Linked DNA regions of Macaca mulatta. The protein of the gene in region 1 purifies or fractionates together with the protein of each later gene. This does not show direct contact. Links are inferred from orthologs where the notes say so. Each region holds a gene or a part of one and is shown in the gene's direction. Other genes may lie near its edges.

Region 1 (3,807 bases):
CGGCCTCCCAAAGTGCTGGGATTACAGGCTTGAGCCACCGCGCCCGACCCCTAGAGCTATATTGTTTTTATACGTGTATTTATTTCCCAGGACAGTCTCCATGGTTCCCATTATATGTGCTTATTCATGAAAATTAAGAGTAACATTAAGGATTTGGGCCAAATAGCTATTTTACTATTAGTTACTGGTACCAATTTGCCAGCAGGTAACAGATTGAGATTGTGTCCTGTGGTTGAGTGGGGGGGAAGTTTAAAAGTCTTCATGGGTTTGATGTTTTGCTTTTATGGAGGGAAGATAATAGCATGCATTTTATTTTCAAACAAATGTATGTGGGTTTTAAGTGCAGGGTGGTAGAGACCTGGCATAATCGTTTTCAGTTTTGTGCTTGCTAAGTTACTTTACAAAATTTGAGTTTGTATTAAAATGAAAATTTAAGCACTGTGTTAGGACTCATGGTGTTTACATTGTGTACAAAGCTGCCAATGACAGGCTTCAGAAAGGCACACGTTTTCAAGGGTTATTGGCAGGAGGAAGCAGTGCCTACTTCACTTATTGTTGATGGTTTGAACTTTTAGCGCTTCTAGTGATTTCAAGTTAAGAAAGTGGAAATAGTGGTCTTCAAAGTAGAATGTGCATACTTGTTTTTTTTTTTAGACAGAGTCTTGCTCTTGTCTCCCAGGGTGGAGTGCAGTGGCGTGATCTTGGCTCACTGCAACCTCCATTTCCCAGGTTCAAGTGATTCTCCTGCCTCAGCCTCCCAAGTAGCTGGGATTACAGGCATGTGCCACCACGCCCAGCTATTTTTTGTATTTTTAGTAGAGACGGGATTTCACCATGTTGGTCAGGCTGGTCTTGAACTCCTGACCTTGTGATCCGCCCCCCCTCTGCCTCCCAAAGTGCTGGGATTACAGGCGTGAGCCGCCGCGCCCAGCCGAATGTGCATCAGTTTATCAGTTGACATAGAGTGAAAACATTAGCACTTCTCTTTCTTCTATCCTCTAAAGTGTCTTTTCTTTGTTTATGTTTTATCATGTCCCTAGGATCTTAGCTCTTGGAGTTTAAATTAAATTCATTGGAGGAAAAAATATGCTTTGAATTTTGGTGTAGAAGTAGAAGTGGGTAATCAGGATTAGGTTTGTTTGTATTTAACAGGGGAAGAAAATGGTAGCTTAAATAATGTGGAAGTTTATTACTCTCTCACATAAAAGACACTGGCTCTCAGCGGCTCAGGGCAGGTATGACAGCCCCATAGTGTCACCAGGGCCTCTGCATCCTGTCTTTCTGTTCTGTCTCCCCCAGCAATCCCTTCCCTTCCCTTCCCTCCCCTCCCCTCCCCTCCCCTCCCCTCCCCTCCCCTCCCCTCCCCTCCCCTCCCCTCCCCTCCCCTTCCCTTCCCTTCCCTTCCCTGTTCTGGGATACATGTGCAGAATGTGCAAGTTTGTTACATAGGTATACACCTGCCATGGTGGTTTGCTGCACCCATCAACCCATCACCTACGTTAGGTATTTCTCCTAATGCTATCCTTCCCCTAGCCCCCGACCTCCTGACAGGCCCCAGTGTGTGATATTCCCCTCCCTGTGTCCATGTGTTCTCATTGTTCAACTCCCACTTATGAGTGAGAACATACGGTGTTTGGTCTTCTGTTCCTATGTTAGTTTGCTGAGAATGATGGTTTCTAGTTTCATCCATGTCCCTGCAAAGGACATGAACTCATCCTTTTTTTTTTTTTTATGGCTGTATAGTATTCCATGGTGTATATGTGTAACATTTTCTTTATCCAGTCTATCATTGATGGGCATTTGGGTTGGTTCCACATCTTTGCTATCCAGCAATTGATTTCTGTCTTTGAAATCAACCTCTGGGCCATAGGAGCACCAGTCATCCCTCTTAGCTCAGGCAGTGGGAAGGAAGAAGAGAAGAGGGCAGGTATGCTCCCTTCCTATTTATTTTTTTAGAGCAGTTATGGGTTCCAGGCAAAATAGAGTGGAAAGTTACAGAAGAGTTCCCATATTCCCCATCCCTCTCCTCTCTTTCAAGTTCAGAACTTCCTCAATGCCATCCAGCAGCTTCTTCTTAGACCTTATTGGTCAGAACAGAGGCACGCTGGGCTAAAGGAGAGTGGGGAAGAGTAGTTTTTTTAGCTGGGCACTTTGCTGCCTTATATAATGGCGTTCCTGACCAACATAGGCAAGGAAGATTGTTGAGTAGGAAACCTAAAATCCTGTTTAAAGCCATATAAGATAATCTCTTATTTTCTCTTCCTTAAGCAAAAGAAAGTTGAAGTCCAAACCATAAACTGGTATTTTTAGAAAGCTGTTTTTTGGGGTGGGGGGGGTTGTTTTTGCTATTAAAATACACTATCTACTCTGTTTAATTATTATTAGTTCTTAAGGGCTTCATCTTTAGCAGGGAAAATAATCATTTAAAATTATACTAAGAAATCATAAAATTACACAAGATACATGGAAGGAGGTATTTTATGTTCATTTGGAAGCGCGTTAAGTGTTTTATAAGGAGATTTGAGGGAATGCTTTATAGAATGGATAAGAACGATTTAAATACCTTAAAAAAATTTTAAATACAGTTCTATGTATATGTCATTTGGTACACGCTAGATTTCTGCTATTAATTATTTTAAATTTGCACCATCAGTAAATACTTCAACTTGTATTGTTTTGAAAGGAAAATATACAAGAGAATCTTTCCTTTTTTTCATCGTTTTCGTAGTCGTAGCATGTTGCCGAGGTAATGACTGCTTCCTCTGTCATTGTGTTTTCTGTCTTCTCTCCATTCGTTTTTCCAAAAGTGCGTACTCCTTCCACGTTACCGCAGACGGTCAGATGCAGCCTGTCCCTTTTCCCCCCGACGCCCTCATCGGACCCGGAATCCCCCGGCATGCTCGCCAGATCAACACCCTCAACCACGGGGAGGTGGTGTGCGCGGTGACCATCAGCAACCCCACGAGACACGTGTACACAGGCGGGAAGGGCTGCGTCAAGGTCTGGGACATCAGCCACCCTGGCAATAAGAGTCCTGTCTCCCAGCTCGACTGTCTGGTGAGTGGACAGGAACTGGTGCACAAGGGCAATTTCTCCCTGGAGATTCAATAAGGAAATAGCTGTGTGGGCCTGGGTTTTATTCCCATTATGAGGAAATAGAAGCCCCTTCTGTTTCCTGTGTTGGGTATTTAACCCCCTCGGCCCCCCGTTTAAATGCGAAGGTTTCATTTGTTGCTGTTGCACTGGCTAAATCCCAGAGTTGATGGATTTCTTTTTATAAAATATTTTACACTGGTTTACAGAGGCTCTCCTTGTGTATGGATGTACATTACAAAAGGGGGTTTCCCATTTAATGGACAAAAGCACAACTTGGCCTGGACTCTGGTCCCTGCCATCCACTCAGTTTTTAATTTCCCTATAGCCTTTAGATAAATATAGAATAGTAAATTTTTTTTTTTTTTTTTTTTTTTTTTGAGACGGAGTCTCTTTCTATCGCCCAGGCTGGAGTGCAGTGGCCGGATCTCAGCTCACTGCAAGCTCCGCCTCCCGGGTTCACGCCATTCTCCTGCCTCAGCCTCCCGAGTAGCTGGGACTACAGGCGCCCGCCGCCTCGCCCGGCTAATTTTTTGTATTTTTTAGTAGAGACGGGGTTTCACCGTGTTAGCCAGGATGGTCTCGATCTCCTGACCTCGTGATCCGCCCGCTCGGCCTCCTAAAGTGCTGGGATTACAGGCATGAGCCACCGCGCCCGGCCGAATGGTAAATATTTGATGACATGTCATAAAAACCATTCTGAACAGGGTAAGG
Region 2 (4,445 bases), on another chromosome or scaffold:
GGGCCCCGCGTGGGGGAGGGCGGGGGCGAGGAGCAAACTCGGAGGCCCCCACCTCGCCCCCGGGCTGTTGCAAATGCGGCTTTCAGCCGAGTGAAAACCCCAAGCCCGAAAGTGAGGGTGGGGCGGGGTGGGGGGGAAGAATCCCCACTCTCCAACCCGGGTGTGCGCTCCCCGCCCGGAAGAGCTGACCTTGGCCTGGGGAGGCGGGGGTGGGGAGAGAGGGTAAGCGCCGGGGCTCGGCTCCCAGCCCGCCGCCCCTTCGGATTCCTGGCCCGGCGGGGCCGGAGGAGGGGGCCCCGGACACACACACACACCCCACACGCAGCGCGCGCCAATGAGCCCGGGCCAGGCGCAGGGGGCGGAGTTTTCCCAGGCTCGAGCACAGCAGCTGCTATTTACCTTCTTGGCTTCTCCCGGGGACCAGGAACCGGCCCCCGCTCTCCGCCGCCCGCCGCCGCCCCCCGCCTCCCTGCCCCCGGGGCGCGCGCACACACACTCACTCACACACGCACGCACACACACATCCTCCCGGCCCGGCCGCAGCCGCGGCGGCAATAAAACATCCTGGCACGTGCTCCGGCTCCAGGCGCGCCCACGCCGGCCGGCTGATGTCAAACTGCAGCTCGGCTGGTGTAGCTCTTAAAGGGCCCGCGCGCGCCGGGGGCCGAGGCCGCCCGCGGGGCGAGGAGGGAGAGGCTCTGCTTCCTGGCCCTCCACCTCAACGCGCCGCAGAACCTGAAGCCTACGGATGAAAAGGGAAAGGGTGGTGAAGGCGGGCGCGAGTCCCTGAGGCATTGCCCTCAGAGCCCCCCTTGTTCATTTTTTCATTTGAAATACCATTTCCTTCCACCCAGTTGGAAATTATTCTGATTGTTTCCTGGGGAAGCGCGGGGTCTAAGGCCCCAAATCCAGAAGAGGAATTTCTGAAAGACGGGGTGGGGGTAGGGGGGGTAAGGGATTCAAGAACTACCTTACTCCGAAAAACCTGCGTTTGTAAGGTAGAAGCCAATTTTTCCTTTTAATGCATGGAAAAAGGAAAAAAAAATGGCCCTTTTCCTGCATGATCTACTTTCACCCTCATGAATGTGTAAAGTCTGAGCGGGAACTTAAGATATGTCGGTAACTCACACCTTTACACGAGTCCCGTCCCCCCCCCCCGCCCCCTTTTAACCACTGCTAATGTTTTTCTCTGTCCCTTTATACCTTTAAAAAATGTGTTTCAAATGAACTTATTACAGTCAAAGCAGCTCTGTTACATATGAGAGAGGGCATAAAGGGTAAAGACCCTGGCTCCAAAAGAAAGGGACAAGACCAAAACCAAAGCGGAAAGAAAAAAAAGATCACCTCTAAACCAAAGCCCAGAGGGAGAGTAGCAAAGGGTTAAAATCCTTTTGATTGACGTTGTAGCCTCCGGTGCCCTGGGCTCAGGCGCGCGCCATTGGCCGCCAGACCTTGTGCCTGGCGGCCAATGGGGGGGCGCGGTCCACGAGCGGTGCCGCGTGTCTCCTCCTCCCATTGGCTGAAAGTTACTGTGGGAAAGAAAGTTTGGGAAGTTTCACACGAGCCGTTCGCGTGCAGTCCCAGATATATATAGAAGCCGCCAGGGCCTGGGGATCACACAGGATCCGGAGCTGGTGCTGATAACAGTGGAATCCCCCGTCTACCTCTCTCCTTGGTCCTGGAACAGCGCTACTGATCACCAAGTAGCCACAAAATATAATAATAAACCCTCAGCACTTGCTCAGTAGTTTTGTGAAAGTCTCAAGTAAAAGAGACACAAAGAATTCTTTTTCTTGAAGAACTCCAAAAATAAAATTCTCTAGAGATTAAAAAAAAAAAAAAGGAAAATGCCAGCTGATATAATGGAGAAAAATTCCTCGTCCCCGGTGGCTGCTACCCCAGCCAGTGTCAACACGACACCGGATAAACCAAAGACAGCATCTGAGCACAGAAAGGTAAGGGCGGTACCTGTATCTCTCTGCAGCCCCTCAAGATTAAGTAGGGGTTGGGGGGGCTTCTTTCTGTGTTGAAACCCCGGGATGAAATGGCAGATCCCATGGGAACACAGAACTCTTTTTATTTATTTGCAGTCATCAAAGCCTATCATGGAGAAAAGACGAAGAGCAAGAATAAATGAAAGTCTGAGCCAGCTGAAAACACTGATTTTGGATGCTCTTAAGAAAGATGTAAGTGGGGAAATGTTGTTGCTCTTTCTTTTACTGAGAAAGCAAACACTTTCTCAGCTACTAAGAGTGAAACCCCCCGCCTGCGGGGTCTAGCACTCGCCGGTACTGCGTTCTCCTAGGCGGGAGGGCCCGGCCTTATTCTCTGGGGTCCAGAGATATGCTTGCGCTCCGTGGCCGGGAGAAGGGACCCCCAGCACTCTGAAGCAACTGACACGGGGTTCACTTTCTTTTCTTGCCTCCTCCTATGCAGAGCTCGCGGCATTCCAAGCTGGAGAAGGCGGACATTCTGGAAATGACAGTGAAGCACCTCCGGAACCTGCAGCGGGCGCAGATGACGGGTGAGGGCGGCTCGCCGCGTCCCCCTGTGCGGGCGTCCCGCTCGCCTCGCGGTGATTTCTTCCAGACTTCCGCCCGTGGTTGTGAGAGGCATTCAGCTACATTTTACTGCCTTGGCTCACTCTCGCGTTCCCACGGTCTGGGGCTTATTTATAGCCACAACTCCAAGTTGTTACTGTTCCGGAAAGGGAGGGAAAGAGGTTGCAGCCGCGAGGGTGGCGGGCGGCGGGTAGGGGCGAAAGGACTTAGGACTGTGGCGGTTTGGAACTGCGTGGAGCCTGGGGGTCACTGGTTTAGCACTCCCTCCCGTTGCAGAAGGGGAAACGAGGCTTGGATGATGGATTGGGAGGCATTGTCCAAGGTCACATCGCGCGCGGGGGTGGGGGTGACAGATCTGTGGCTGAGATAGGTTTAAATGCAGCGACAGGGAATCGGGAAGGAGTGGCTCGGCTTTGGCAGCCACGCTAGTGTGTAGAGGTGGCTTTTTTTTTTTAAACCCATCCCACCCTCCCCGCCGGAGGCAGTTTTACGGGCCCATGGTCAGGGAGGCGCGCCACTGGGACCTCCCAGGGCGGAGGCAGTGGCCACGGGGCCAGGGCCGTTCGGTGACCCGTCTGTCTCCTTCTGGCCCGCAGCTGCGCTGAGCACAGACCCAAGCGTGCTGGGGAAGTACCGCGCTGGCTTCAGCGAGTGCATGAACGAGGTGACCCGCTTCCTGTCCACGTGCGAGGGCGTTAATACCGAGGTGCGCACTCGGCTGCTCGGCCACCTGGCCAACTGCATGACCCAGATCAATGCCATGACCTACCCCGGGCAGCCGCACCCCGCCTTGCAGGCGCCGCCGCCGCCCCCACCAGGACCCGGCGGCCCCCAGCACGCGCCGTTCGCGCCGCCGCCGCCGCTCGTGCCCATCCCCGGGGGCGCGGCGCCCCCTCCCGGCGGCGCACCCTGCAAGCTGGGCAGCCAGGCTGGAGAGGCAGCTAAGGTGTTTGGAGGCTTCCAGGTGGTACCGGCTCCCGATGGCCAGTTTGCTTTCCTCATTCCCAACGGGGCCTTCGCGCACAGCGGCCCTGTCATCCCGGTCTACACCAGCAACAGCGGCACCTCCGTGGGCCCCAACGCAGTGTCACCTTCCAGCGGCCCCTCGCTTACGGCGGACTCCATGTGGAGGCCGTGGCGGAACTGAGGGGGCTCAGGCCACCCCTCCTCCTAAACTCCCCAACCGACCTCTCTTCCCTCTGGACTGTAAACAGGAACTTGAATACTGGGAGAGAAAAGGACTTTTTTGATTAAGTGGTTACTTTGTGTTTTTTTAATTTCTAAAAAGTTACTTTTTGTAGAGAGAGCTGTATTAAGTGACTGACCATGCACTATATTTGTATATATTTTATATGTTCATATTGGATTGCGCCTTTGTATAAAAGCTCAGATGACATTTCGTTTTTTACACGAGATTTCTTTTTATGTGATGCCAAAGATGTTTGAAAATGCTCTTAAAATATCTTCCTTTGGGGAAGTTTATTTGAGAAAATATAATAAAAGAAAAAAGTAAAGGCTTTTATGTCTTAGAACTGACTCTTCCAGGATATGTAAAAAGGCTCTTAGTGGAATTTGAATTACATGTAATTAGTCAATTCAAGAATTGACTCTTTTGTTATTAAAAGAACATTTTTAAAAATCCATCAAACCTTTCACCAATCCTCCGTGAACTAAAAAGACTAAATTCCATTTACTTTACAAGCAGCCATCTGGTAAGGCTTCCCTGATAAACTTGTGGTCAGTCTCTTAAAGGATTTCCAAAAACTTGTTTTTAAGTTGCAGTCGGGTAAGTCTGCAGCCCTTGTTCTTCTATCGCCTCCTGAGAAAGACTGAACAGGACTAAATTCACGAAGTCAGTGGATCCAATCCTATTGCCCATTGCAC

The links.
Region 2: the proteins of TLE1 (region 1) and HES1 purify together in Homo sapiens (affinity purification with western blotting; 4 studies listed by BioGRID and IntAct, with this or other methods). This does not show direct contact. The link is inferred for Macaca mulatta from reciprocal best matches to the Homo sapiens genes TLE1 and HES1.

Annotation. Positions count from the first base shown.
Region 1 is NC_133420.1:112,565,739-112,569,545, reverse strand, and holds part of TLE1 (transducin-like enhancer protein 1), read left to right. Parts: intron 1-2,807; coding exon 2,808-3,057; intron 3,058-3,807. UniProt on the Homo sapiens protein: Transcriptional corepressor that binds to a number of transcription factors. Inhibits NF-kappa-B-regulated gene expression. Inhibits the transcriptional activation mediated by FOXA2, and by CTNNB1 and TCF family members in Wnt signaling.
Region 2 is NC_133407.1:4,621,421-4,625,865, reverse strand, and holds HES1 (transcription factor HES-1), read left to right. Parts: upstream 1-1,616; 5' UTR 1,617-1,847; coding exon 1,848-1,955; intron 1,956-2,090; coding exon 2,091-2,186; intron 2,187-2,436; coding exon 2,437-2,524; intron 2,525-3,157; coding exon 3,158-3,708; 3' UTR 3,709-4,078; downstream 4,079-4,445. Other genes in the region: uncharacterized protein LOC144339429, read right to left, coding at 1-638, 747-795. UniProt on the Homo sapiens protein: Transcriptional repressor of genes that require a bHLH protein for their transcription. May act as a negative regulator of myogenesis by inhibiting the functions of MYOD1 and ASH1.